3 linked regions of the Struthio camelus genome follow. The protein of the gene in region 3 purifies or fractionates together with the protein of the main gene of each other region. This does not show direct contact. Links are inferred from orthologs where the notes say so. Each region holds a gene or a part of one and is shown on either strand. Other genes may lie near its edges. The genes, in order: iron-sulfur cluster assembly 1 homolog, mitochondrial; AP4S1; TEPSIN.

Region 1 (10,031 bases), on a different chromosome or scaffold from region 3:
TTTACACAGTGATTTGTCATTAGGATTTAGTTATAAAAATTATCATCTTTATATTTTAATATTCCCTGCTGTCCATTAGCAGCTAATAATATTAAGTTGACTTGTGTTTGTTTTTATCATAGTTCAACAGTTTTTTTTCTCCTGACTGATGTTTGAATGTTTCAGTTATTTTATGTTTGTTTGTTTTTCTTAACTTTTAAAGTTTAATGCTTCCCCCCTCCCCCCCAATCTTAGGCAGCCTTTCCAATAAATACATAACTCGGAAAACCTCACAGAAGAGGGCCCAGCAAGAATCATGAGGGATATGAAGCACTGTTAAATTGCAATGCAGGCTGTTCGTTCATTTAAAAGCTTCCCTCCCTTCTCTCTCCTTTGGCTAAAGCATCTGGATTCACAGGACAGCAGCATAAACTATCCTCAACTAAAGTTTAAAGAGACATGGGTATTTTATTTTAGATTGCTAGTCCAAAAAACTATGGATTTTAATATTGTCTCCTACCATGGACCCCTGCTCTTGAATAGATTGTTTGAGCGTTTTAATAAAAGCCATGATGTTTTGTATTTGTTTACTAGGTAAAACATGTAGATAAGGGCAGGTACTAAAAATGGACCATTTTCAAGGTTTTATTGTTCAACCTGATCCTTTCAAAATGCACTAAAATTGTGTGCAAGCCAAATAAATGATCTATTTTCTTCAAGAATTGATTTTTTGAAGGAGGAAATAGTATTTATTAATGTTGATTGTTTACTGAATCCTTGTGTAAATGTGTTTGAAATGTTTGTAGACTGCTACAGCTGTGTTTGCGAACTTTTTTCTGTAGAGAACTGAAAACATGGACATTAGTAAACTTATGTATTTAAAAAAAAAAAAAAAAAAAATCTCTGTGGGCAAACAGTGCTGTTGAGTTCCCTCCCGCTTCTGTGACTTTATGAGAGTTCATTTATTGCTGCACTTGCATACAGGGAGAAAAAAAAGACTAAGACAGATCAGTCCTGTTTGCTGCTAAAAAATCTTTTTTCATGGCCTTGAAGATGTAGACAAAATTGCTTTAAGGATTTAAAATATATATATATATTATTTGGCAATTGTGGAAAACGCATTTCCATTTTCATAAAATGTGAAGAGAATCCTTCTACCAGCCAATAATTAATGTTATCAACTTGAACCTTACTTGAAATTCTTCCATAACTGGTAATGTACCATCTTATCCTGTTCAGGAAATAATTATTTACATGGTAAAATGGAAACCACTGTTTATGATTTTGAAATTAAAAAAATCAAAATTCAGACAAGTTTAAGTTTCTTCTTACACTACACTTAATTTGCAGTATTTTTGAATTAAATGCAGAAATAATTATAACTTATTAGAATTATCTCTGCTCTTTAAGATGTGTCCTGTTTAATGTGTTTTGTTTGTTTAGTTTTTTCTCTCCTTAACTGTCTGTTTCTAATAAAGGTAAAAGCTGGAATTTCCAAAGAGGCCTTAGGGTACTGGGATCCAAACTCCTATTTTGGGTTTCATCCATCTATAAATTTCTAGATGTGCAGCTTTCCTTTTTTAAAAAAAAAAAAAAAAAAAATTCTTGTCTTCTTTCTCACCATATTTTCGAGCAAAATCTTAGCCACCAACAAACAAACTTTCAGCTTTCTTCTATAGCATATTTTTTCAGACAAAATAAGTAAATTTTCCCCCTCAAAAATAAGTTGTTGTACTTTTATTCATAACCAAATTATGTAGCTGCTGATATGCCTTGTGTATGCAATGACTTAATTAGCTCTCTATTCAGATTTATCTTCAGTTTTTGCTGATAACAGATATACGGGTATAAACCTGTAAGGGACAACAGCATCATAGCATGTAAAGATGGAAAACATGTCTTAACAACAAAAATCAGATTTACACATACCCTCTTCCATTTGTGTCATTTTGTGGTTTAACTGTGAAGCTTTCAACTATGAAATTTCTGAACCAACATTTGGATGAAAACTAATTCTGCAGGTTCCCAGTCCTCTCACTTTGGAGCTGCTGCTTCCTTATGCAACTACAAGTTTTATATTGTTACTATCTCGGTCCTAAAATAAATCCCACACGCTTGAGTTTTATATAAAAGTCTTAAACCAGTAACTAACAAATGCATTTGTCTGCCTAAATGCTATTTAAATAATGTAGTGATAACTTATAATAGGATGATCCATAACACAGAATAAACACAGTATTGATGAGACATAATCTGCTGGGTTGATTATTAAAGCTTAGTTTATTGTAGAATCTTAGGAAAGGGGTTGAAAATTTAAGTAGAAAAGTGGGTTAATTCTTCATAACATTCAAGATTCTGCTTGCTTCACATGAGTATATTCTCAAGGGAGCAACTTTCCACATTTAAAAAAAAAAATCTGAAAAGACACTACTGTATTAAAACAATTTTTCTAGAAAAAACAATATCAAAACTAATAGTAATAAACTGATTCTAATAGTTTATAGTTAAGCTATGACTAATAGTTTAGAAAATCAAAAAGCAAACACTTTCTGTTGAACAGAATTGCTCTTAATGTTGCCCTCCAACAAATTTCAGTAATAAACACTCCTGGGGCTAGAACAGACATTTAGTATCCACTAAGTAGCTAGCATGTCTTTAGCATTCATGTTTAATTCCGAGATGCTCATAATTCTGTAGCATCACTATGTCTCTTTTAATCGATTAGAAATTTCTAACTTACTACTTCCCTTTTGTTATCTTCTGGAAAGTTGTTATGTTTAGGGAAGTCAGATGGCCTAGCCATAGAAGCCCCTGCATCTTCACTCAATTTACTGCAATGCATTAATCTTTGGAAGAGTCTTTCTGGAACATTTGTGCTTATTTTTAGGAGCCCTTCAGCCTTTAGGAGGCTGCAGAAAGATCTATACTACGCCTATACTGTCCCTCAGATAATACAGTGGGACAGTGAGCAAGTGAGCTGATAGTACTGTTCATTTGTGTGTATTTTTTTATTTGTTATTGTATTGTTTCATAGCAATTCCTCATGCTCTTGATGTCTCTTTTTCCAAAGTCAGTATATGTTTCTTGTGCTATGAGTAGTTATCAGTGCTGAACAAAGGGGGAAGTACTTCTATGTTTCAGGTATGCAGCACAGTTAACCATCTTTCTAGCTTCAAGCTTGCCAATCTTTCACTAGCAGAGATGAAGAGGAAACTGAGGTCTTGATGTTCTGGAATATGAAATTTTCAGTGCAATACCTATTTCTTCTACCTTTTCTCCTTGGTTTATGCTCTCTGGTTTTTAATCTGGAGACTAATGAGGACCAAATAACGAACCTATCTGCATTCTCATTTGCAGTAATGTGAATGTTTTTGTATAACAGTGAAGATTTAACAGTTAAAGTATTTACCTCTTGCTTTTAATTTGTTGATGTATTATCAAGATAAGATTTGAGGTGTCTTTTGACTATGCTTCAGTAATAGCTATTGTTACTTAAGATGAAACCAAGGTCAACTATCTAGTTTACCTATCCTAGCAATTTAATCTTAGTTAGAAAGCTAGATAACTACTAGATTATTTTAATTCTTACTTCCTTTTAAAAAGCTACCATTTTCATATCTTAAAGACCACAAATCCAGCTCTTCTGATTTCACTCTTCTGATGATATTTGTTTTGTAGAGATATTAAAAAAGTTTGTCATTATTAAAACTTTACTTAAATGTCTTTAACAAGAACTTGTTTTATAAACCTGATCAAATTTTTATAAGAACTGCAGAAGCTGCATCAAAAGTAATCTTTGCTAGGAACTTCTGGGCAATAAATGATTATGTAGAATGGGTGCTTGCTAGCAAAGAAAATATTTTTTTCTGTAGTGATGAAGTTAACAATCTTTTGTGTTATTCACTTGAACTATTTAGGTGTTAATATTGTTTTTTTAACCTTTATCTTCTTTTAGTAACGTACTAAAGATGAAAAACACTTTTTTTTAAAGCTATTTTTGTAGTCCATGTTCAGCATTTTTATGCTGAGAGCCATTCAACAGAAAAGTGACTAAAGAGTAATAATTGGAAGCATCCTAAGTAAATACAAGAAGGTAAAGTTCTTTAGACCTACCTGGTAGACTGAATCATGAATAAAGTGTTAGTTGCATTATTTTTATTGACATCAGCTTCAGGCTGATAGTTGGTTCAAGCCCTCCCCCCTGAAGTAGGGTGTTTTAGATGAGAATGTGTGTACAATTTGCATATACTTTGTGTAGCTAAAGAGAATGTAACTTTTTAAAATATTTACTATCTTGATTTTATATTTGATGTAGAAGTATGATGCCTCAGTCATAAAGAGCAGTGGCATGCTGCCAGAGGAAATGGAAAATGGGCATTTTTTTTTCCTGCCACCATAGCCATCTAGCTTAAGTATGGGATTACTCTTCCTGTGCCAAGGCTCTCGCTGTCCCTCCTGGGTATCTGGAAGTTATCACAGTGCATCTCCACAGGGCTGGTGTGAGCAGTGTGGGACCAGCAGCAGATAACAGTCCCTTTCAGCATCCTTCAGGTCTGACTGACATGCCCCTGCTATGCACCTTATACATGAGAGGTGAAAAGAGTGCCTGCTCAGAGAGCCGCTGCTGGGCGAAAATCCAGAAGGGGAGCAAAAGAGGTAGTTTGAAGGGGAAGAGAACAGACCAAGGAAAAACGTTACTGTGTATGCATGTATGTGCATTCATTATCCAGGTGTGATCCATCAACTGTAACCTGTCATACAGGTTAGTTTCCTATTCTTACATATTTTACTGAACAGTTTGTCTGAAGCGTAAGGGTTTTGCCTCAGGTTCTAACCCTTAAAACTGAATAGCCTTATGCTATGCTGCTTTAACGTGTTTGTCTGTTACCTTTAATAAATGTTTGTGTTCTTTGATGACATTTCTCTTCTCTAGACAGGGACTATAGATTTAGGATTACTAACGCGATTTTAGTGGGAGCTTGGGGGGGATGGGATTGGAATAGGGTTAGAAACTGGTGCCTGATGCTGTTCCCGTAAAGCCAAAGGGCAATTATCTGCCAGGGCTTTCAGGTGGAGGCGTGACGGTTTCCCCCTCCTGCCCTTATCTTTGCAAGCAGCCCTCACTCCTCCCTCCCCTCCCGTGCGCAACGGTCGAGCGCTGTTTGAAACGGAAAGTGACCTGCCTCGCGGCAGCGGGCTGTTAACGGCTGGCGCGGTAGTGGCAGGTTCTACGCTGCCTCAAGGCCGCCTACCCCTGGGGCTTCTGGCAGGGCGCCGCCCGGCCCGGCTCCCTTGGCTATGCGCTAAGAGTGATTCTGCTGCACGTTAATTGCTCTGCGGGGCCGGACCCTTCAGCGAGCGGCTACCGCTGCCAGGGGCTCGGTCCTGCTGGCGGGCCTGGGGTCAGCAGGCAACCACACGCCCGGCGGCGGGGCAGGGAGGCGGGTCCAGCGGTTGCTGCCAATCACACGCTGCTGTCCAATAGGGACGGGCGGAGGGAGCGCGTCGTGTGCTGTGGCGTCACGGCGTCGCGTCGGCTGTGCCTATAGCAAAGGGGAGGGGGCCATGGCCTCGTTGGTGGTGCGGGCCACGGTGCGCGCCGTGAGCAAGAGGAAGATCCAGGCCACCCGTGCCGCCCTCACCCTGGTCAGTGCGGCGGCGAGTGCGGGCCCGGGCCCTTCTGACCTCTCCCTTCGCCTCCGAGTAGTGGGCGCTAGAACTGCGCCACGGGCCCGGGGGGCCTTCCCCGGGCTGGGCGCCCGCCGACCCTGGGCGGTGCTGCGTCGCCTCCGGGGCGCTGGGGGCAGCGGGCGGCCTGTGTCTGGCCGGTGGCGCCGCCTGCCTATAGCCGGGCGGCGAGCGAGGCCGTGACGGGACGGCGGGGGGAGCGCGGCTGAGGTGCGGTGGCGAGCACCGTTAGCCCGGCGGGGCTGCGAGGGGGTAGAGGTAGGCTGCTAGGGAGTGGAAGGGCTCGAGAGCTCGCTGGAGCATTGGCGCTGCCGCGGGGTAGGTGGTTCCTGCAGGTCTTCACCCGCGTCTGTGCAGGCAGCGGAAGAGGAGGAAGCACTGGGGCGAGCCTCACGTGCGGTGGCTTTTTGCGCAGTCACCGTAAGAGGTGTATTTTTTCGTAATAGAATAGAAATTCAGTATCTGCAGAAACTTGTTCCCAAGGACGTTCCATATCCCTCTATTATTTGATGAAGGGCATTTGCTAGTTGTGGTAGTGTTGCGGAGGCAGTACAGTCGGGAGGGCTTACTGCAGAGAGAGGTAAAGTACTCTGCATTACCGGGGGCAGACTAAGCATGTCTAGTTCAGTAATTTGTCTGGGTGGGTCGTTCCTGTACGCTAGTGATTCTGTAGCAGTCGAACGTTAATACTGTTAATTAGAAAGGCAAATCTAGTTAAAGTTCTCAGTAGCTTGGGAACTTGTGTGTAAGGGAAACATTTATGTATACTTTGTGTATGTCGTCTTGCACTTCTGCGACAACCGGATCTACATGAACTATGTATGAGTTTATCTTCCGTAAAGTCACAGCTCACCTCTAAGTCAATGGGAAGAGAGGGGAAGGAGATATACGTTACAGACAAAAATCAGCATGGCACAGAAATGTTTATGTGACAGAAATTTGGCTAGAACAGAACTACTTAATTGAATCATAGTAGTACTTTTTCAAAAAGAAAAAAAATAATAAGGACTGATGTTCTTGAACTATCTGCTGCCAGCAGGGGTGGGGAGGGGAGTAAACAGTTATTGTATTCTGCACAGATTAGATTCAACTATTACTTTTTACAGAAGAGTAGGTTAACTTGAGATCAGGCATCAGTTTCAAGTAGAGCAAGGACTAGTCTGCAGTGACAGATGGTTGGTTCTGTAAGTGGACTTTGCAGACAGGAGACAAAACTTAACTGTAAACTAAGATAAAATTTGATTGCATTAAGTTGGAATTAAATTTTTTTTGCTTTATTTGCAGTATGTGACTTGCGTGTATTACGGCATGTGTAATATACTTAGGTCTATTATTTAAAAAAAACAAAAAAAGTTTCAAACTGATGAATATATTTCTGTTTTTCAGACTCCATCAGCTATTCAGAAGATAAAACAACTTCTTAAAGATAAACCTGAGCATGTAAGTGCAAACGGGGCCATCTTGTAGATTGTATTAAGGTATTAGCACTGTTGATGATTATGAAGCGTTTCTGGCTAACCTAGTAGCTTGAAATAAATATTGAACACCTTAGAAATGTTGATGCCTTTTTTGGAGGGCAATGTATCAGCTTATTTATCTATCAAGCTTTAGTTCTATTTAAAAATGAAATCCAGAAAATGAATGATATTTCACTGTAGTTACTTTTGAAATAGATAAAATTGGAAAAAATAATTAAAACTTCAAAATGTTTCTAATCTAGTTTTTAGGTAACTATTCTAGCATGGCATAGGTGGTGACTTCTGGTAGGGCTGGAGGATCTCCAACTGTTGATTTGAAGATGTTGTTAATCAAGTTCTCGAAGGAATTCTGGCTCTGAAATAGGTAATTATAATGATAGATTCATACCCATTGAAAAAAGGTGTAATTCTTATGAACCTTGCCAGACAACATATTTTTGTAAATAATAATTCACTTTTCACCAAGTAACTGATTGAACTTGTCATTTTTTCTTCTTGGGAAAAACACATACAGTCTTCCTTCCTAAACATCATAAAAACAAGCGTTGGGTTTTCTTCTTCACAGCAAGTACTATTTCAGGAAGGTTGTTTCTTTTTTAACTTTGTACAAATACCTATTGTTTCTTTTCCTTCCTGCATGATTGCAACTAATTAGACTCTTTTTAACATTTTAAACCATCCTAAGGAAGCCTTAAGCCTACAGCTTAGCTGGTTAGTCATCCCCTTGTTGTAACTGGTGTTCTTTTTTTTTTTTTTTTTTCTAACCTATTATTTCTAGCTGTCCTTGTAGAGAAGGGTATTTAATCTGAAAAGAACAAATGCTGTTTGTCTGAGATCCCACTTGATGACAACTATGGATACGTTTTTATCATAACACTTTTACAGAGGTTACTGTACTTTTTCTCTCTAATTATGTAGTGAAGCATACATGTTTGAACAGAGGTACAGATACTTTTGGAAGATTTAGTTTTCTGGTTCGTGTGTCCCTACAACCATTTCTCAGCTCCTTACTTATATAGATGTTCTTTTTGTCTGACATACAACATCATGTTGTTTTAATTATTTGCAATTATCCATATTGACTAGGTTGGCCTTTAACGTTGATTACTACAATAAATGAATAGACGTACTTGCCAAAAAGGAGAGACAGGATTGATTTTAAGTAATGAAGATCACAAACAAAGTAATTTTTTCAAAACTTTGGATTGAAGTGAAAGTTTTCTGGTAGCCATTATAGGAGTTCCATGAAAATCTAGTAACAGCCCTTGGCTTGGCATCACAACTTCGTAATTAAGTTACTGTCAATAATCTTAAAATAGTGCCTGAACTAATAAACTTTCATTAGAAGTCACAGAAATCTCTGTCTTTGAAATTTAACTCTGACTTTTATGACATTGAGCACCTACAGAAGTGCTGATAGTTTATTACTTTAAAATGGTAGGGGTTTTTTTGTTTAGCACGCTTTAGGGCTTTGTCCACAATAGCAAACATCTGATGTGTGACTTATTGCTAGTATAAATAAAATGATTAATAATCAACAGCAGAAGTGGTAATGACAAGTATAACCGTAGACTCAACTGATGTATTCTTGCAGTACTGTCACTTTCACATAAAATGTGCAATAAAATAGAACAAATGTAGCATGGAATGAAGAGCCAGATTTTTGCCAATACCAACCCAGATGAGAGTTATAAAATGAGTAATAAATATTTATGATTTGTGTTCTAACTTTTACCTTGATAGTTAGTTTGTAAAAGAGAAAAATGTTACCTTCTAATCCATTAAGCTTCTGTTTTAGCATTGGGTTTGAGACAGGGAAGAATAAATATCAGCATTTTGTTGTTATGCATGCTTTTTATCTTGGTGTTCCAGAAGATGTTTAAAACATCATTAATGTTTTATTTCAGGTAGGTGTGAAAGTAGGTGTTCGTACAAGAGGATGCAATGGACTTTCTTACACATTAGAATATACAAAATCAAAAGGAGACTCTGATGAAGAAGTAGTTCAAGATGGTGAGTTTCTGACGCAGTAAAGCAAAGCTGTGTGGTGGTGGGGAAGAATAACTTAATTATAAGTTTGCCAAGGGACAGGTTAGAACTTCTTTGAAGTAACAAGTTATAGAGGCAGAAGTCCTAGCATTCTGTTATAGAAATTGTTGCCTTAGTTTTTGTTGTGAAGGTGTAGATTTGCAGTCGAAATGAAAGTTGGATCAAGGATACCCCTCATTTTATGCCCATGTTGGATTAAGTTGGAATTCTCTAGGATAACAAGAGAGTCTGTGTCCTGGGTCAGAATAGATGATCTAGCTTATTATTCCAATCTTTGGAGGTAGCCAATAGCAGATATTTAGAGAGAGTATAAAACAAGGCATATCTAGAAAAATACTTTACCAGTATACCTAAAATAATCTTGGCAAGATAAAGATTTTCTGCAAGGAATTTTTCCAGTCTGTCTTTTCTAATAACTAGCCTTATCCTTCATTAACTTAAAATTTAGTTTTAATCTCTTTATGCTTTTGATCTTGACATTGTGACAATGAATTCTATAACTTTAATTAAGCAGTGTATTGAAAACTTTTATTATGCTGGCATTTAAGATTGCCACCTGATAATTTCATTGAGTACCCCATCATAGGTCTATTGTTAAAGTACTGAATAATTGTAGCATAGATCTTCCTAATTTTTATAGAAACTTCCTAGTTTGACAAAAAGACCACTGACAGATTTTTACAGAGGCATAATAATGTTTGTCTTGGTCTCTGTTTGATTTCTGTTTCTTTTTTTAAAATTCCTAAAATTCTTTATTTATTTTTTTAGACCTTATTGAACTTTGCTATGTTTAGGTCCAGGAAGATTATTTTTAATCTGGTGGCAAAGTCGGAGATT
Region 2 (9,559 bases), on a different chromosome or scaffold from region 3:
AGACATTTCAGATGCCTATATTACCAGCATACTCCAGGCATTTGCAAATATTCCCAAATTAGAAGGTTGATAAACTTTTTGCAGTTTATTTCACTTTATTTTAGGCCAGTGCTGTTCAAATCTTCTCCGTTTTTTAAAAGACTGCTTTAGTAGTTAAACTTCATTTCAGAATGCATATAGGGTTATACCTATAAGATCCACTGAAATCAGCACTTTACCAGTTATGCTTATTCTCCAACAGCAATCTTCTAAAAGGTAATAAAAGACACATGATTAAAATACACTGTGCATTCCACAACTATAACATGCACATTTCCTACCTGTAGGCTTTGTACAATCTCTCACAATTAATCTCTGCTATCAACTAAGTTTTGTTATCTAAACAAAACAGTATCAAAGCAGCGCTGCACGTATATTTTAAAATAGTAAAACTAAAGCATTTCAGAGCTACTTTATTGGCCATGAAAATTTAAGAATAGCTGTGCCTGGTCAGCCCAACAGATCACCTACCTCAGTGTCCCGCTTCTAACCACGTACAAACAAGCAGATCCTAGGGTACAACGTAGAAGCAGAAGCAACCTCAAAATACCTTTGTAACCTTCAAAGACTTGTAAACCAAAAGCATCCTGAGTCAGAGGTAGCGGCTGAATTCAGAAGCCCTAATGGGCTTTTCTTCTATGAACTCATCCAAACACTTTTCGACCCAACAAGCTGCTAGCAACTACAATATCCCCCTTGCACAGAATTCCATTAACTCCAAAAAGCTGTTCGTTTGAAAATACTGTTAATTTTACTTCATGCTTCCTAGCTCAACTGAGACACAGCGATCCTACATTCATCACTTAACTAAACAGTGACCACCCTGCAACCCTTACTACTTCCTTCACATCTGATCTAGCATTAGAAAAGCTATTTACTTGCCACAAGCAAGGAGAAGAAGTCTTTGCTATTAGACAAATTGTTCCTCCAACTTCGAAAAAAATTCTCAACACTATTTCCCCTGCTCATATCTGCAATAAACCAAAACACAGAGCCACTTATTTCAGCAACTGGTTATTGCTACGCTTTGTACACGTTGAAACCTACTGCTACTGGACTGCTTATCTACACTCTGAACATGGTCTCATCCAGTTCACTATATGTGCACGTTTACATATATTTACATATTTACCATTCATGTAAAGTGCCTAACTGAGCAATTTCTAAATTCTAATCACCTCTAATCTAAAAGACCCTCCAGGAAGACAAACATCTGTAAATTGTTGGGGGGGGGGGGGGGAAACACAGCTAGCAAAAGAAATTGCCTATTACTAGCATGTAATTCTGCAGTATTTACTAGGGTCCCAAAGTCCACAAAGTTCCTATAACGAGCTGCTTCCCTCTGCCTCACAAAGAAGATTCCAAATAAAATTTAGAGTTTTGCTGTTGTCTTTTTAAAATTTTTTTCAACACCAATGTACAGAACACAAAATGACAGGCAACAAAGGTAACAAATTGTTCCCATAATGTTACAGAATAGCTAGGAAAAAAACATTTATAAAAATCAGATAAATTACGAACTGAATATGACCCTGAAAGTGTCATTTCATATGATGGAAAACAGACTAACAAGCTGATTAATCCTTATGTAAATTTGAGTTCTCTAGTAGGATGTATACTGTTTAATCATACAGCCGTATATACATTGTTCAAAGTATTTCTGTTTCTTAATTATTCTTCCTACTTATTAGAACATTCAGATATTGCATCTACTGTTAAGTTTCTCTCCGTATATTCTTCTGCGATTTTAAAATATCAGGGAGTATTCAACTTTTGTTTTTATCTACTTCAGAAGGCATGAAAAAACTGCACTATTTTAATCATATAATTGGGACTTTGATTCTTGCAAAGCATATCAATCTATAAGCCCGAAAAGAGATTGGAATCCTATTGACTTTCCTAGGTACCCAGCAAGTTGCACGATCTTCAGTTTTCTTTTCTTCCCCCACCATGGAACCCCTCCTTAACACAGCTTTATCTTCCTTCTCTGAGGGCTTCTGTATGTGCCTGTCCAAAGCGTTTCCCCAATCATATATCTTTTATGAGATTACCGAGGCACTTACCCCCCCCCAAAAGGAAACAATTGTTTCCATCAAATATGTAACATCCAGCAACATGGGCTTGCTATACCTCCTCTATAGTGCAAAAACATCTTAGCTAGCTCACAGGGACTGAATATATTTCAGTGTAATAGCTACCAACATCAAGGTCATTATACGGACAGATCAAAACTACAGCTGTAATTACACACTATTTGTTACAGTGAGAATCATTCTTTTAGTTCACAGAAGAGAAAACAAATCCAGCCTATAACTCTGAAAGATCTACACACTGAGTACAGGCAAATTAGTTCCTTCACACACAGCAGGGAGAAAATTTTAAAAAAAAAAGTTACTGTGGCAGCCAGTATTAAAAATGATGAAAAAAAGATGCTATGTTTTAAGTACTGCACTCCGATATTCAACATTTCTGTACTCGACTCTACACACACAGGTTTGACAACTATGCCACTTCACTTGTGCATACATGGAGCTGAATAGTTTGAAAAGACAGCACAAAGTTATTAACTTTTTAGAGTCAGAGTCTTTCACTGACATGAATGTGGTGACTTAAGTCACCTAGCACAGGACTGCTTCAAAACCAAATAGTTGAGACCAATCATTATGATTGTGGTATAAGTAGCTTGTAATTTAAATTAATTATAAAAATTTGTCCCATGCACAGGTAGAACAACTGAGCAAAGTGTTCAATATCATTATATGATCTGAAAAAGTATAAGCTGTTACTACAGGACACCCCCCACCTTCTCTAGCATGTGAAGGGCACTCTCACCAGGGGTCAACAATTCTCTGAGGCACTTTAAGTACACAGGAGAAAGGAAAGGAGAAAAAAAAAACATATGGGGGGAATCACTCAACAGTGATATTAGTTTCATACTGCAGATAAGAAAGCATCTTATTCTTCCAGAGAGTAACAACCAAAAATTCAACCCTCTGAATAGGTCAATAAAATCACAAGGTACTGCTGTCACTTCGTTTTCCATATACCTTTTGTAAAGCATCATTTGCAAACTTATTGAGTTAACTTAGGTTGGAAGAAACCTGTAATTACCTGCACTAAAAAAGACTGTTTAGAAAGCTTATTGTAATGTTGAAAAACGGAAGAAGTTACATGCATGGATGAGACTTGCAACCTTGTTTCCTTTCAACCCAGGAGGCCTCAAATCCTCTAAAAACTCTTACATCTACTTAGGATCACACAGATGAACAACAGTCTCAGCAGTTTCAACAGGCAATAGTTTGGGGTCTAAAACGTTAAGGCTTTATTAGCTACAGAATTATTTGTTTATTAGTTTATTAGTCACAGAATGAACTGTGACTTCACAGCTTGAGAGTACAAGAGGAAAAAGAGGGGAAGAAGAACAAAGCAGGCCTGTCGAACACATCTCTTTCAAAAATATTGTCAACGCATTTCTGTAACAGTTATCATCACCATACACGTTGACATTTAAAATCCAATAGCAATGCCCCCTACATTTCTATCCCGGGCTTGCCATGTTATAAAAAAAGACACCCTCATACATATACACGGCAGTGATATGCCTGTTGCATCCCATGACTTGATGCACACATGAAATAGAGTGACTCAACACATACATAGCCAGGGTCAGAACTACCATAGTACATCCAGAAATAACATGCAAGTAACAGAAACAGTATGACCACGGATGACAAACAATTACAAGCAAAAGCAGGAGACTTAGCAAGAACACATCATAGTGTCCAGAGGCCAAAAGCAGCACTTTTCAGTTGGATACAGGTTTCAAGGTCTTAGAACTGAGCTTTACATTTAGAGCTCAGAATGAGGTATTAGTTTCAAAATAACAAGTCTATGCATAAATATTCTCAGATTATTTTCTTTGCTAATGCATGCCCACTAGGCAACTTATTTATAAACGCAGTCCTATACTGCTGAGAAAACAAGAGAAATAGCCAACTGTTCCCTACTGAAAATGCCCACGAATATGCACCAAACTGATTTTAGAAACAATCGTGTCACAAAGCTTAAAATAGTAAGACCTGCAGTAAGTTAAGTAAATAGTGAAGTCCTCTCATTTTTCACTTTTTTGGGGGCTTCTTTCTTAATTATAGCTTTAATAAAAACACTGCAAATTACAGAGGTTAGAAGTCCTGAAAGAACTGCCCAGGCTCAAGTATAGTTCTAGTTTCTGAAATCTGAAAGTATATCCCACCACAAAAGTTGATTGCTGTTGCAACATGCTATTAATTACAGTGCACTTTGATGGAATGCTGCTTCAACACAGTAAACATTCACTCAATACATACATCACAAAAAATGATTTGAAAGTAATAAACTTTGATTTTTTTAGGGCAAAGCCACAGACAATGATAGTCAACAATAATGTCTCATCCATTCATTCATATATGGATACCTCCAATTCAGTAGATTTTGTAATTTGTATATAAATGTGACAGTCTATGCAGTTTTATTTTTATGTGCAAAAAGCAATTAGTTGAGGTACCCTTTCTATCACTCAAAGCAAACACCATTTGCAAGTGATCTACACTGGAAATCAAACGCTTTCTCTGTCTCCTACAGGGTTGTTCAATTTCTGTTCCTAACGTTAAGTCTGTGCTGTTATGTGTATTAAAACCATCGTGCTCCAGACCTACCAACTCCTCACTGCTCTTCAGCAGTTGTTTCTCTGATGTGAAATCTCTCAAGAAGCGAGAAAGGAAGAGACGGGACACGTTCAACCTGCCCCAGACCTCGACGCCTGGGAAACCCCTTTACGTGAGATTTACCTGAATACCCTTTCCTAGCCTTCAGCCTCCTCGGGCAGCAGGTACTCTTCACAACCCCCTCTCCCCACACAGCAACGCTCGCTGAGCTCCAGGGAGGCTTCAGCCTTCCCAGGCCCGGAGGCTCTTGCTCTCCGTACGCGGCACCCAGGGCTGCGGAGGCCGCCGGCCCGCAGGGCCCCGAGTCATTGTGCTCGGGGAGCTGACCGCAGCTGTCAAGGGGCACCTCGCTCTGCCCCGGGCGGCCGGGCAGCAGGGGCAGCAGGCCGGCGCCCAGGCAGCGGCCGCCCGCCCGCCCGCCGCTCGGCGCCCTGCGGGCCCCGCCAGGCGAGCGCGGGCGAGGCCTGGCGAGCAGGGGCTGCCTCGGCAGCCCGGAGCCCAGGCGGGCGCCATGCTAAAAACCAAAATGGCTGCCCCAGGGAAAGGAGCCCAGCTCAGGCCGTGAGGGGCTGCGCCTCCGCCAGCCCGGCCGACCGGCAACGCCGCTTCGCCCGCCGCACCTCGCCCAGGTACCGCCGCCGAGCCGCAGGGCCGCTCTGACGGCCGGCTCGGCCTCCGGGCCCCGACAGGCTCCGCTTCCCCGCGCGGCTCTGCTCCCGCACCCGAACCGCGGCCCGGCCCCCCGCGCCGGTCCCAGCCCGCGCCTCGCTCCCTCCCCGCGGAGCCCGCCCTCGTCCCCCGTACCTGAAGCTCGGCCCGCTCCACCTCCCAGTGCGCCCTCTCCATCTCGAAGCGGGCCCACTCGTGCTGGATGTAGTGCAGGATCCCCGGGATGGTGTAGTGCTGGGGCCGGGACAGCTCGGCGGGGCCCGCCGCCTCCTGGCCGGCCGGGGCCGCCGGGCCCTGCGGTTGCTGCTGCTGCCCTCCTCCTCCGCCGGCCCCGGCCCCCACGCAGCCCCCACCCGACTGCAGGTTCATGTTCCCAGCCGTCTGCGGCGGCGGCTGCTGCGGTCTCGGGGCGGCCGACATCCCACCGCCTCCTCCGGCTCCGGGGTGCTCGTCCATTGTCTGCGGGGAGCCCTCCTCCTCGTCCCGCGGCGGGGGCCTGGAGCAGGGGCCAGGGAGGGGGGTGAGCGGAGCTGGCTGGGGCGGGGAGGAGGGGGGGGTGGGTCGGGACGGGAGTGGGGAAGGGGGGGGGGGCCTGCGCCGAGCAGTATCCGGATGTCAGAGCCGCGCCGAGCTGCCGCCAGCCGCCATTACAGCCTCCGAGCCATCGGCCCACCCACCCGCGGCCGGGGGGGGGGGGAGCGGGGCGGCGCGGCGCGCGCGGGATGCCGGGAAAAACCGCTTCCCTCGCTCCCCCGTCTTCCCTCTCCCGGCCGGGCACGGCCGTTGCGGTGCGCGTGCGCATGCGCCTGCCAGCGAGGTAAGCGCCGTGCCCGAGGGGCGGGGGAGCGCGCTGAGGTGGGAGCGGGCGGGCGGCGGCGCTGCTGGCGCCGCTCCCCTCGGAGGGCGCGGAGGCGGTTCCTGCCTCTCGCTCCGCACCCGGGGACAGATCGCGCTCTGGGTTTAGGCGGTGGCACGCTACCAAGGGGTAGTCACTCGGGCAATGGCCCTCGTTTCCCTCCTGTCTCCCCTCCGGCCGCCGCGGGGCGCCGTGTGCCGCCCCGCCCAGCGCGGCCCGAGTTAAGATGGTGGCCGGGCTGGCGGCCGCCGCGCCGCGGGGAGGCGGCGGGGGGCGGCAGCGCCGCCGCTCTTCGCTTTTCTCGCTGTCCGTCAGGCAGCAACGGCGGCACTGGGCTTGCGGGAAGGCTACCGAGGTCACGATGGCCGAAGTTTCGGCAATAACGTGGTGCCGGGATACAGCCCGCGAAGTTTTAAAAGCTCCGTTCTCTGGGAGTTTACAAAGTAATTAGAAGAGTTGGTGGAAATAGTTCTAGCTTTGGCCATTAGCTGTGCTGTGGGCCTTAGCTCATCGTTTTCCTTTTATAAGAAATAAAGCTGGGTGCGTTAGGCCAAAGATGCCGTGTTGTTTTTCTAAAGGGGTGTTTAGGGGCAGCCCCCGGCCTGAGGGGCCGGCGGTGCGGGCAAGGGCGCTGCTTCGCTGTTTAAACTGATGTGCAGAAAAACAGATGAGAAGTCGCAGAGTTTAAGTCCTTAAAATTCGGTGTAGTTTAATGGTACATTTAATTTACCTCACAAGTAGGGAACTTTAGAATGCTTTTCTTAAATGCATGGTATGTCTGGGGAAGTTGCCTGATCATTTTTAATGAATGGTCATTTTTGGAGTATGTCACTGAAGGGTAAGGGACTTCTGTAACGTTTTCCTGTGTCCCTTGATGGGAAGGGGCAGTCCGTGTCTCCTCTCCTTTCTTTTTCTCCCAGTCTTTTCCACACGAGGGAGATTTTTCAGGGCATTACTGATTTGTTTCATCTGGTTAGTTTTATCTGTGATAGCAAATGCTCCATTTATTGCTGTAGTATGGATAAGGTCAAATTATCCCAGTTACAAATTATTGCTGTGAAATGCAGCATTTATAAATTATCATCACATCCTATTTGAAACGACTTGCAGATCACCCATTTTAAGTAAGATGGATTTTCTTTTGCCTCTCTTGCAAATGTCTGCGTACTGTACTCATTCAGTAAGAATATGGGTAGTTTCCTAAAGAAGGCTTGCTCCAGATAGATCTGGAATTGTGTTAATTACTAAAAAATAGCTACTACTTGTCTCATTCGGTACTGGTGTTTCTCCACTCATCTCTCCTCAGGTACATAATGATATTTCAGTTGTTTTACCCATTCCTATCTGTCTTCTGCACTGAATCATTTCCTACTAAAATTTAATCCTGCGGGCTTCCTGATTCCATGCAGATTAGCCTATCTAAATCCGAGTCGTTTCAACATCAGCAGATTTTTTTCATTGTCCAATGAACAGTATTGAATCATTACCAAAAACGAATACTAACCTCTCAACAAATTTAGCCTTTTTTCAATTACTGTCTTAAGACGCTCCCTGTTCCTGAACATAGAGGAGTTACTGCAATTTCATTTTGTTACCGTATTCAGCCAGGATTTTGACAACTAAGCAGCAAAGGAAAACTTTTTTACTCTTTCCTTCCTCCCTGACTTCCCTAGCATAATAAGGTTACTTTTTTTAAATGTCTGATCCTGGAGCTGAACACAGTGATTTCTTTTAAAGCAGCATAGACAAAGGTGTTTCATCTTTAGATGAACTGTATTTTGTACAGTAACAAGATCTACCATATAAAAACAAGTACTGTTACTGATAAGTAGTAATAACTGTATATGACCGTTATTAAAGCCTTGTCCATGGTGAGAACAACAATAGGAAGGATAAGGGTGTTGATTACATGAGCGGTCTTCATTTGCTACTTACCTTTTCACAATAAGTGCATAGCCAGATAGTTTAATAGACTAATGTGTATGTCAAAAATACTTGTTCCCATGCTGTCGCCTGCTTGTGCCCCTACCAGTTAGGCCTTTTTCTCTCTCTTCACTTCTCTTGACAGTTTAACTCATTTTGTTCTACAGATAGTACATGCAAATTAAGACACATCTCTGCATCCAGAAAACCAGTGCAATGTTCATTTATACCCTTGTGTTGAGTTGAACGGTGCAGTAAGTTACAGGCTTACAGTTCTATCTAACATTCAGTTTTAACTCTTGGCAAAGCAGATTTTTAAAAAGCAGTTGTGCATTTATTGTTTTTCAGATATAATCTCTTACTTACATTTTAAGTTAGATCCCTGAATTGTTGCAAAACTTTGTGATAGCAGTACAGTAGACAGAAATCCAATTTGAGTGACAGCTGTAATGCCAGATGTAAGTCTCAAACTCAGGTTGTGTGTTTTTTGTTTTTTGTAATATATCTATCAGAGTATGTATGAATATTGGAGGAATCTCTTGACAAAATAAGTTAATGATGTCAAGTGTTTGCATCTACTGGAAGAGTACTTAAAATTATGTTTTCCTGGATTTACTGCATGTGGAATTTGCTAGGTTGGCCACCCTGGAGATTTAAGGCTTCCCTTTTATCTACAGAACAGGTATTGCAGGCTGTGCCTCTCCAAAAGGTTTCAGCCACTGCCTTCAGATACTGGTTTAGAGGTGTGACTCACAAACAGACAACTTTCATTGAGGTATCTCATGAGCTTACTACATGCCTACAGAGCTGGCTTGTCCTGGAAGCCGTGTTCCTGAACCATCCGTTTCTCGTCATTCTGCAGAAAACCAAACAGGTTTGATTGTCTTAAATAAAAGGTTGCCTTGAAATACAAGGCTGTTAGATAACTGTTTCACACACACCTTAGCTATCTGTTCAGGCAGGGGAGGATGAGCCTGCTTGGGGGCACTAAAATCAAAAGGCATATCTCTTCATGAGCCGAGGTCCTTAGTCTTCAGCCTGTCTGCTTGCTGGTTTAGAGTGAGTTAAAGCCATTGTATTGTAATTCATCAAAGATTGCGCAGTCTATCAGTCTACAACTGTGAATCACACAAGCCAATCATGGTACCAGTTTCTCTCATAGCTATTTATCTGCAAGAGACACTTTAAAGAGGGTAAAATCTTAAACACAGTATGACAAGATATGTTTAAATTACAGTAGTTGCGCTGTAGTAGATAATTATGCCCAATTATGCTTACAGAAGAGATTTCTTGCAAAGGAAGTGGAGAGCCACGCAGTCATTCGGGAAGGTAATTTGTTCTGAGGGAAAGTTTGCAATTTTAAGACATT
Region 3 (10,165 bases):
GGTGAGGGTGCTAATGGCAAACTGCAGCAGGCCTTGCAGAGGGACCTGGCTAGCAAAGTGGAGGTAAAGAAAGAAGCTCCTCGGGAGAACGTGGTGGACATGGTCCAGGACCCTCAGGGAAGTCTCCTGAGCAAGCAGAGGCATGCGGATGGGAGCCTCTCAAATGAGGCTGAGAGGAAGCCAGACACTGAGGACACTGCTGCCCAAAAGCCCGAGAAAGGAGTGGCTGCCCATGGGGACCAGAAGCTGGACCACGATATCAAACCGAACCGGGACCTGAAACTGCAGGCAGACCTGGACCTCCGCCGGAGGAGACGGGACCTGCTTCCTCCCGAAGAGGAGGAAGCTGCACAGGGGGCGGGGGTCTTCATTGGCCTGAACCCCCTTCCAGATGTGAAAGTAAATGATCTCCGGAGCGCTCTAGAGACACGATTAAACCAAGTTGCAGAGGGAGCTCAGCAGGTGGTCCACAGCCGGCAGATCAAACAGATGACACAGGCAGACGGGAGCATGTGAGTGGGGTGATCGCGCTCAGTGGGTGGCTGAGGGTGTTGGCCGCAGGCACGATGCTGATGGGCTCAGTAGGGAAGGTTCAAGTTAACCAGCTGCTTTTTTGGCCAGCGTTGCTCAGACAACGGTCAGTCTAAACCAGCAGCACGTTGTTGGATGCAGTGCTTGGATCCACGAGATCTCCTTGGACTTGTGAATACTGTCCAGGGGACTGTGGGCTTCTCCAGTCTCTGCAAGGGAAACACCTTGTGTGTGCCTAGAGGTGGCCAAGGAGATGGCAACCTTGAAAGAAAATCTCCCACTGTCCTCTGGCTTTCAGAGGTTGCCATCTAACTTGGTTCCCTGCCAGGCCAGCTTTCAAGTACCTTTTCAACGTCTTGTTCATATCGGATTGCCTTCTCCATCTGGCTCTCATTTCCCCTTTCAGGGCTGAGGCAGTTCTCCATGCAGTTCACCCACCTGATTTGGAAAGGCTTCTCTAGCGAGTATGTTGGGTTGCTTAGCCCAGCGTGCTTTGGGCTTTGGAGCAGAGGTCTGGGATTGCAGGCGGGAGGGAGGGGGAACCAAGGAGAGATGCACATCTCCTCTTGAAAGATTTTATTCTGCTTTGGAGATGCATCGATTCAGATTGGATTTAGGGCTGGCTTTAGCCAATTGCTTTGGTATTTCTTTTGAAATGGGAGCTGTTAGTCTTGCATGTTTAGGGGATAGTTGTGGTTTAGGAACCTAGTTTAGTAGAAAATGCTGCCTTAAACAGGCACAACTGCTGCTGTTGTGCTGCCTCTACTCCCAGGGATTTAATTGATTGGCCACACACTAGCAATAACAAAGAGCTTTGCTCTCTCCACCCTCTCCGGATGCTCACACTCTCTTCTGTGCTTTTAAGCTTGACTTCTCCTGTCCAAAGTGCATTATGAAGCTCAACCTGGGGGCTGCAGACTGTCCCCCAAATCAGCTTGACTTTCTGCAAGAAGCGACTAACATTTGGGAGCAGAAAAAAGCGGCTTAAAAGAGTGTTCTTGGGGGCTTGGCTCAAGCATACCTACCTCTTCTCTCTGTAACTTGATGGAGTGTTTGTTGTGTGTTCTTCACAGCCCATTCGACAATGTGTTTTACATCCATCCAAGTAATGTCAGTACTCCGCCCCGGTAACGTGTTTTATGAGCAAGAAAGGGAAAAGCTTCTCTAAGAGTTCTGGTTTGTTTCAGGCTCCCAGACAGTGATTCATCCCTCCTTTCTTTTTTCTTTTTTTTTTTTTTTTTTAAATCCTGACTTGCGAATGTAAGAAATCAAATCCCAAAGCTCTCACTAGAACGGCTGAAATTTCCCAGCCTGGAGTCTACAGACCTCATCACTGTGGTGGTTTTTATATCTGTATCTCAAGTGTCTTTGGTAAACTAGCCTCTCTGCGTTCGTATCCGACGGGATTTCTCAGAGCCGGGGATGGGTCGTTATCAAGCACGTGGAACTGTTGCGCTGGTTCTGGTAAATACCACGGGGAAGGCTCTGCCTTCGGTCTTGGGTACTTTGTTCCTATTTGTCTGCTCCAGCAGTTGGAGACTGCGATGTTTCTGGAACGTGTGCCTGTTGTTTGAAGGATGTTATCTTAATCTCCAATTAAAGTGACACAGAGCCACAGGGCAACAGCCACGGATTCAGCCGAACTGCTTCATGAGGACCAACTGCGTTACTTCCACGTGTGTCTCAGATGTGACTGACATAGCCTTAACCCTCAGGACTTCCTCCATAGTACAAGTGAGCTCCTCCATTACGCTGTCTTAAAGCACAACATGGTTGGGAATCCTTGAACTGCACGTGGCAGAAGGACCGCTGTAGGTGTCCTGTGCTAGCGTTTGTCAGGTGCAGGTAAGGCAATAGACTGCTGATCACATTTCTTAGCGTTAAGTCTGCACTGGGGAGGCTGGTTCATGCTCTGTCCCCTGTGCTGCACTAATGAGCCTTTATAAAGTAAAAGGGAGCTGGAGGAGGAGCTGGATCCCCCTCCCTTCTTGCACTTTGCTGGGTACCAGGGTCTGTCCTGGGCTCTCCCATACATCCCATGTCTGCACGGCAGGGTGAGGACAGGCTCCTTGCCCTGTGGCATCAGGACGTGCCTGTAGCAGTGACGTTCATTGGCATTGAGTCACCTGCATGAACACGAAGGACCAAAGATGCTTCTGACGTTCCTCAGCAAACGGAACAGAAAACGGCCATGGATTCTGGGCATCCCCCACCTCAGCTGGAAGGAGGCAGGGAGCTGCGTTGCCTCTCTGTGCCAGGAACTGTTTGTACTGGGTGTGGAGCGCTTGGCGGGAGAGACTGGAGGGGAGACTGAGCTGTGTAGATCAATAAAATAAGCTGAAGCATTTTTATCTGAATTCTTCTTTGTTTTAAAAAAGCAATCTGTGAGCCCTACTCAGCCACGGGGCTGTGGCCCCCCTGGCAGGGAGAGGAGTCTGCTGTGCTCTGTACCTGCAGGGAGTTACTTTGCCTAAGGAAAAAAAAAAAAAAAGCTTTGTGCTTTCTGCTTTCTTTGAACCTCTCTCTGCTCCACCCTTCCCTGCTGCTGTGGACTAGGGTGGTGAGAATGTGATCCTCCTCCCGCCCCTCACAAACACAGGACCTGTCTTTGGGAGGAGAAATCTGTCTAATTTGAAGTTCACGGGATCAAGCAACTGCAGCATTGCTGCTATTAGAGCTCGAGTATTCAAAAACTGGCTGCAGGATCTGCTGGCTTCCTTCCCTAAGCGTGCTGCGCCTTGGACCGCCAGCTGTTATCTTAACCCAGAACTACGAGCTTGGAGGTCTTGCAGCCCTAAATGCTGGTTTCTGACTCACAAAACGGTGACCAGCTCAAACAGAGCCTGCGCAGAGCCTGGGACCTTGAACCTATAACTTCTTGTTATAGGAAGCTTTGCTCTTTAGCAAAGCTGGAGCTCATATGCAGCTGGGAAACAGGCCTGAATCTGGGACTCCAGACTGGAGAAAAAGAGGATTAGAAAGGAGAAGGAAAGGTCTCTGTGAAGCGTAGATCTAAAGTGAAAGGAGTTCTCCTTTGGCTTAGCGTAAGTGTCTGTAGGCCTGCTCTTTCCAGGCTGGGGCCTGGACGGGATTTTGATCTCTGCTCTACAAGCCAGGGCTGTCTCTCCAGTGGCTATTCTGCATTTCCTCTAAACCTGGCAGTTCTGGCTGCTCAGGGGAAGGGGAAGTGGACTCCAGCAGCCCCAGGGCAGGCAGATGCCAGAGACTTGTTCTAACAATAGAGTAGTTTGAGCATTGTCCGAGTGTACGGCAGCAAACAGAAAGGGAACAGCTACTTGCCGGACGGTAGCTTGGTTTTCCACAAGCTGCTGATGGTTCTCATTTGCTGTTTATTTTGTAACTTAAGGACAAACTGACTCACGTTTTGGAGTTTTATTTTAAAAATATTTTCCCAAACATTTATTTACATGCAGCGTTTGAGAAACGGGTGTACATAGGAGAAGCGTTACGTGAAATACCACCCAGCGCTTCCCTTTCCTTCGCCCGCAGCGACTCGGGCGGCCCCGCCGGTGTGCTCCAGGCCGCACGCCGGACCGCTGCGTCACTTCACCGCCGTCTTCGCCTGCGAAGAGAAGCGACCGCGACGGGGCTGAGGGGCAGCGCTGCCGGCCCGCGTCCCTCCTCGCTGCGGCTCCAGCCTGCAGCCGCGCTCGAGGGAGAGGGGGCTGCTGAGACCCCAAACTCTCTTCCCCCTCCTCGGGGCCGCAGAGCGGAGCGAGCTGGCGCTGGGCACCTACCGCCCGGGCGAAGCAGTCCTGGAGCGCCCGGAACTCCTCGGCGCAGGCGTCCCGCCGCAGCTCCCTGCTGCCGGCCGCCGCCGCGGCCACGCACCGGCCGTAGGCGGCTGCCTGCGGGGAAGGAGCACGGAACCGGGCAGGGAGGGACGGGGCGGGGGAGACGGGCGGGGGGGGACACGAGCAGGACGGACCGGGGGTGACGGGGGGGGGGACGGGTGGGGGGGGGACACGAGCGGGACGGACCGGGGGTGATGGGGCGGGGGGGGAACGCGAGCGGGATGGACCGGGGGTGACGGGGGGGGGGACGGGGGGGGGGGACACGAGCGGGACGGACCGGGGGTGATGGGGCGGGGGGGGAACGCGAGCGGGATGGACCGGGGGTGACGGGGGGGGGGGGGAACGCGAGCAGGACGGACCGGGGGTGATGGGGAGGGGACGCGAGTGGGACGGACCGGGGGGGACGGGCGGGGGGGGACGCGAGCAGGACGGACCGGGGGGGACGCGAGTGGGACGGACCGGGGGGTGATTGGGGGGGGGGGACGCGAGCGGGACGGACCGGGGGTGACGGGGGAGGGGACGCGAGCGGGACGGAGCGAGAAGAACCGGGACGGCGCGGGGCGGGGAACTATAACCGGACTGACCGGGGGGTGGGGGGGACAGGCCAACGGGACGGACCGGGACCGCCTGGGGTGCCGGGCGGGGGGAACCGGCAGCGGGACGGACCGGGCGGGCGGGGCCCCGCGGCCCTACCTGCGCCCCGCAGCCCGCGAGCAGCTCGGGGAAGCGCCGCAGCCGCGCCCGCGCCCGCAGCCAGACGTCCTGGCCCGACATCGCCGCCGCAGCCTCACGCCCTGGGCGCCGCCATGATGGCGCAGGTCCCCATTGGCCGCTCCCTCCGCTCGTCAAAGGGCCGGCGACTCTCGCATTGGATGTTGGCGACCGCCCGCCCAGCGGGGACGCGTTGATAGGGCAGGCTATCCGTCCATCAAAGAACTGCCCTCTGATTGGCTCCGACGTTAGGTCGTGCCCTCGGCCTTCTCGGATTGGCTTGACTGGCCTTCTGAAATCGTGGATTGGCTACGAGTAGTACCCGCCCACTGGCCCCATCTGATTGGTCGCTCTTCCTCAGCAGGCAGTTCTCATTGGCTGAGATGCCGGTTGTTTACTTCCCCTCTCTCGCCCCGTCGCTGGCGGCGTCAGTCTCGTGGGACGCTTCCGCCTGGAGCTCCGCCCTCCCTCCCCGCTGACTGGCTGAGCCAGGGCCCCTCGCGCCCTCATTGGCGAGTGGCGTCTTCCGGGGGGGCGGAGCCTGGAGGTTGTGGTCGGGTCGGGCAGGGACGGGCACTGGGAGCGTCATGGCGGTGCCGCTGCGGGACCGGCTGAGTTTCCTGAGCCGGGTACGGGCCGGGCCGGGCCGGGCGGGAAGAGGGAGGGCTGCCTGCGGGCGTGACGTCACTCTGCCAGCCATGATGTCACTACCACCCCCACCTTGGCCTGGTGTCAAAGCCGGGCTCCCTTGGTGTGATGGTGCAGCCCCTTCCCTGCCCTTCTACTCTGATGTCATAACTGAGCGGTGTGATGTCACTGGGGAGGGGCTGTGACGTCATTAAGGCGGCATGGCGTCACTACGCGGGACTTCCACGAAGGGTTTCCCCAGCCCGGCCGGGGCAGGCCCGGGCCGGGGTCGGGCCCTGGTGCGGGGTCGCCCCGCGCCACTCACGCCGTCCCTCTTGCAGCTGCCCGCGCTGCTCAAGGGCACCGCGGACGACGACGCGCCCTGCCCCGGCTACCTGCTCGAGGAGATCGCCAGTATCCTTCCGGCTCGCTGCTGGCCCGGCCCGGGCAGGCGGCGGCACCGGGGCGCTGCGGGGGCTGAGCTGGGCGGGCGGCGCGGGGAGGGCGGCGGGGCCGGGACAGCGTGCCCGAGCTGGCGCCGAGGGCCCTTGGGGCTGGGAGCAGGGCGAGGCGCGTGAGCAACGCGACGAGGTGGCTGCCCCGGTTCCCTCCAGCCCGCGGTCGCCGGCGCGGCCCGGGAGCAGCGGAAGCAGATTCCTTAACGCTGCGCTGCAGAGATCTCCCGCGAGTCCCCCGGCAGCAGCCAGTGCCTCCTGGAGTATCTGCTCAACCGGCTGCAGAGCAATTCCTGCCACGTCAAGCTGAAGGTGAGCAGGGGCTGAGTGTGGGCTGGCCGCCACGGGGCTCCCCCAGCTGCTGTGTGGCTGCCCTGGCTGCGAAGGGGCCCTGGGGCTGGGCTGGCACCGCCAGGGCGATGGGCTGGCGGGCGGCTGCGGCTCAGCCTTCTTCCCCTGAGACCTGTGTCCGCAGGTGCTGAAGATCCTGCTGCACACGTGCGCTCAGGGCTCCCCCCAGTTCGTCCTGCAGCTGAAGAGGAATGCCACCTTCATCCGGGAGGCAGCAGGTAACGTGGCGAGGAGCAGAGGAGCTGAGGGCAGGGGAGCGGGGAACGGCCCGGCGTGATGCTAGAAACCGCAGCCAGGCTGGGTTGGGAGCCCAGAGCGACTCCCGCCTGCGGGGCGGCCCCAGAGGCTGCGGAGCCTGGCACGGGGTGTCTGAGTTCCTGCGTTCCTGCCCCAACCTGCCTGTGCCTGGGAGCTGAGCGCCCCCCAACCCTCCTGCCCTGTGCCTTGCAGTGTTCGCCGGGCCCCCAGATCCTCTGCATGGCAACAGCTTGAACCAGAAGGTCCGGGCGGCTGCGCAGGTGAGTGCCTGCCCCCGTTCCTCCGTGCCCAGGGGACTAAGTGGGGCCCAGAGCAATGGGGCAGCTCTGGCTCCCTGCTCCCCGGCTCGGGCCAGGCCAGGGTGGCTGCCGCTCCTACAGCTCTCTCCGCCCGCTCTTCCGCCTCTCCCCGCAGGATTTGGCCAGCGTTCTCTTTTCTGATGCTCTGCTCCCCCAGCCCGCTACGCTGCCTGCCCGCCCCCTGCCTCCTGTAGGTAAGTGCCAGCCCCTTGCAGGCCCATCTCCCTCTGCGGGCTGTGCTGGAGGTGCTGAGCTGGTCCCCATTGATGGAGCTGTGTGTGTGCAAGGGAGAGGAACAACAGTGGAGAACAAACACCTGTGTTCTCTGAACATGCTTTGTGCCTCCCCCAGGGATGGGCTCCAAATCGAGCCCCTGCAGCTCCTTGCAAGGATTCGGCTTCAGCAGTGAGAAAAGCAGCTCCAGTAAGTTCCAGCTGCAGCCTTACCTTGGTGCTGTCCGCTCGCCCCGTGCGTCCTTGTGCTGCGCTGGGTCAGCCGTGCTCGCGTGTCTGTGAAGCCCTGGCCCCCTATTTTTGCTTCATGTAGCTCTCCCCTTTTTCAAGCCACCTAGTGAGCGCTGGGGCTGGCAGCGCTGTCGTGCGGTTGGCAGCGGAGGGCTCTGCGGGGCCCTTCCCTGCTGGGAGAGGTGACGGGGATGTGGGAGGCTGATGCCTTTTCCCAGTAGCTCTCTGGGGAGCTGCCTCTGTGCTCCAGCCAGCTGGAGAGGAGGCAGCAATGGGACCTCCTCTTTCATTCCCCAGAGCTGGGGACACCTTCCCCTCCACCCAAATCCCTGCTGAGGGTGAGCTGCACCGTGGGGGACAGATCTGGTCACTCCTTGCACAGCGCCCTTGCCCACCTTGTCCGGCTGCCAGGGCTGTTCCTCTCTGTCAGCCTCTCCCCTTGGTTCCCTTGCAATGTCCTGAAGGACGATGGGTGCCTGGGCTCGGTGCCCGGGGCCTGGGATGGGCTCCCCTGGGAAGCGCCTCATGCTCTGGCCTTTGCCCAGCTTCCACAGGTGAAGTCCTGCTCAGCACCATCCAGCGAGCGGCCGAAGCAGTGGCCAACGCTGTGCTTCCCTCCCAGGAGGGGCCCCGGCTTCGCTGCAGGGAGCTCCACGAAGATGCCTACCAGCCCGTGTCGGCACCCCCTCCCAGGAGGAGGGCGGCAGAGTCTGCAAAACCACCAGCAGCCGCAGCAGCACACAGCATCCGAGGTACGTCACCCTCCTGCACGGGCTGGCATGGCCGTTGACTGCGGGGAAGACCAGCAGGGTTCCCACCAAGGGACTGGGGTGGAGGCCCTGCAAGGGCTGGTTTGGGCTCCTGGGACTGGTGCATCAGTGATGGATCCTGGAGGGAAACCTGCTCCTGGCTGGTCCCTTGTCCTCCGTAGGTGGCACAGGGTTGTGCTGCAATGAAGCTGAACTGGCTGGTGCCCTAGCTTGTGGACAAGGGTTTGGGAACATCCCCAAATCACTTGGTCCAATTGTTTGTGGAGACAGCCGTCATGCAATTTCAGGGCACGCTGGAGGTTGGCTCTGATTTGGCAGCAAGATGCTGTCCCTCAGCTGCTCCGTGGCTCTGTGACAACACAGCCAAGCAGTTCTTTTCCTGAGCTCCCAGCACGATTCAGAGACTCCTGGAAATGTCTGACATGGCACTGAAGTGCAGCCAGCTCTGGTGTGAGGCGAGGCTGCCTGCCAGCATGGGGCTGCAGCCATCGCGGTCTTGTCCTGACTGCTGGAGCAGGCAGGAGCAGCGAGGCCCCAGCTCCAGGGTTCACTGCTCCTTTCCCTGCAGTGAGTCACCAGCCAGGGCTGGCCGCCGGCGGCTGGGAAGAGACGGACAGCGGGCACAGCTCCCAGGACTCCTCGCAGGAGAACGGTGAGCTGAGCCGCACCTCGGACTCCTACAGCAAGTCAGGCAGCGACAGCCACTCTGGGGCCAGTCGGGAGCTGGTGAATGTGGCTGAGAGGTGAGAATGGGGGGCATGGTGAGCTCCCACTCCCCTGAGTCCTTCTGAGATGGTTTCCTCATCTCCCTATGCCCAGGCATCATTGTGCCCTGTCTTTCAACACTGTTAATCTGGAGTGCCCTGAAGCTGCCAACCTGTGTTCCTCCTGGAGTGTTCTGCCTCCCAGGCAGGGCAGCCTTTGGCCGGGCAGGTGAGGCAGTTGGGGCAGGGAGTCTGCCTTGGCAAGGACTCCCTGCAAGGCAGGAGGGCAGCAGGTGAGCCCACAGAAGGAATTTGGGGTCTGAGCTGGGGAGAGCCGGAGTGTGGAGCTCCCAGGGGCATGCATCCTGCCAGAGCCCACTCTGGGGCAGCCCCCCAGGAGGGAGCAGGGCTGGCTCCTGCCCGTGCCAAGACGTTTGAACCCTCTCCTGGTGCAGGGTGGACGCTGACAGCCTGGGCGACTGCCTGCGGGAGGTGAGCCTGGTGACGGCGCTGACTCGGGGCGCCAGGGTCTTCCTGACCAGGGACGAGGTGCAGCACTTTGTCAAAGAGTAAGTTCCCGACGCGTCCCCTCCCTGGGAGCAGGGGTGCTGTGGTGCTGGTGCCCTGGGGCCAGGCAGGGGGTGCTGTGTTGGCAGCAGAGATCAGTGTGGTCCCTTCTCACCCTCCTGGCTGCCTTGGCCCTGAGCTCTGGGGCTGAAACGCTCCTGGGCAGGAGAGGTACTTGCTCCACGCCGGCTCCTGGGGCTCCTCCGGGTGCTGCGCGTGGCCAGCAACGCGAGGCACTGGCTGTAACCTCTGCTCCTGCACCAGGTGTGGACTGCTGAACTGCGAGGTGGTGCTGGAGCTGCTCAGCCGGGCCCTGGAGGACCCCAGCGAGAGTGTCCGCATGGTGAGTGCCTGCAGGGGCTGGGCTGGCCCCAGGGCGCTGCGGGGATGTGCCCACAGGGCTGCTGGCATTGCCCATCTGCCCTGGCCTGCACTGCTCAGCCCCTGCCTAGTTCCCTGAGAAGGGGCTTGTGAAGGGCTGCAGACATGGGGTGGGTGGACGGGTGCTGGGGCTGTTGCTCGGGGTGGGTGGGTGAGTGGAAGAAGCCAGGGTACGGGGTGTTTCTGGCTGCGTGCCCAGGCTCAGCCAGCTCTTGCCTCCCTGCAGAGGTCT

Evidence for each region.
Region 1: the proteins of TEPSIN (region 3) and iron-sulfur cluster assembly 1 homolog, mitochondrial purify together in Homo sapiens (co-immunoprecipitation; 3 studies listed by BioGRID and IntAct, with this or other methods). This does not show direct contact. The link is inferred for Struthio camelus from reciprocal best matches to the Homo sapiens genes TEPSIN and ISCA1.
Region 2: the proteins of TEPSIN (region 3) and AP4S1 purify together in Homo sapiens (co-immunoprecipitation; 3 studies listed by BioGRID and IntAct, with this or other methods). This does not show direct contact. The link is inferred for Struthio camelus from reciprocal best matches to the Homo sapiens genes TEPSIN and AP4S1.

Annotation. Positions count from the first base shown.
Region 1 is NC_090981.1:14,445,838-14,455,868, forward strand, and holds the start of iron-sulfur cluster assembly 1 homolog, mitochondrial, read left to right. Parts: upstream 1-5,371; 5' UTR 5,372-5,544; coding exon 5,545-5,625; intron 5,626-7,053; coding exon 7,054-7,107; intron 7,108-9,052; coding exon 9,053-9,158; intron 9,159-10,031. UniProt on the Homo sapiens protein: Involved in the maturation of mitochondrial 4Fe-4S proteins functioning late in the iron-sulfur cluster assembly pathway. Probably involved in the binding of an intermediate of Fe/S cluster assembly.
Region 2 is NC_090946.1:53,284,272-53,293,830, forward strand, and holds the start of AP4S1 (AP-4 complex subunit sigma-1), read left to right. Parts: upstream 1-5,242; 5' UTR 5,243-5,371; intron 5,372-5,546; coding exon of another isoform or gene 5,547-5,867; exon of another isoform or gene 5,868-6,082; intron 6,083-6,102; exon of another isoform or gene 6,103-6,228; intron 6,229-9,559. Other genes in the region: STRN3 (striatin-3), read right to left, coding at 5,547-5,867. UniProt on the Homo sapiens protein: Component of the adaptor protein complex 4 (AP-4). Adaptor protein complexes are vesicle coat components involved both in vesicle formation and cargo selection. They control the vesicular transport of proteins in different trafficking pathways.
Region 3 is NC_090960.1:1,482,072-1,492,236, reverse strand, and holds the start of TEPSIN (AP-4 complex accessory subunit tepsin), read left to right. Parts: upstream 1-5,573; 5' UTR 5,574-5,644; coding exon 5,645-5,686; intron 5,687-6,025; coding exon 6,026-6,098; intron 6,099-6,359; coding exon 6,360-6,451; intron 6,452-6,614; coding exon 6,615-6,708; intron 6,709-6,940; coding exon 6,941-7,008; intron 7,009-7,162; coding exon 7,163-7,241; intron 7,242-7,398; coding exon 7,399-7,470; intron 7,471-8,056; coding exon 8,057-8,263; intron 8,264-8,849; coding exon 8,850-9,024; intron 9,025-9,100; coding exon of another isoform or gene 9,101-9,214; intron 9,215-9,440; coding exon 9,441-9,554; intron 9,555-9,816; coding exon 9,817-9,895; intron 9,896-10,159; coding exon 10,160-10,165. Other genes in the region: SLC38A10 (solute carrier family 38 member 10), read left to right, coding at 1-516. UniProt on the Homo sapiens protein: Associates with the adapter-like complex 4 (AP-4) and may therefore play a role in vesicular trafficking of proteins at the trans-Golgi network.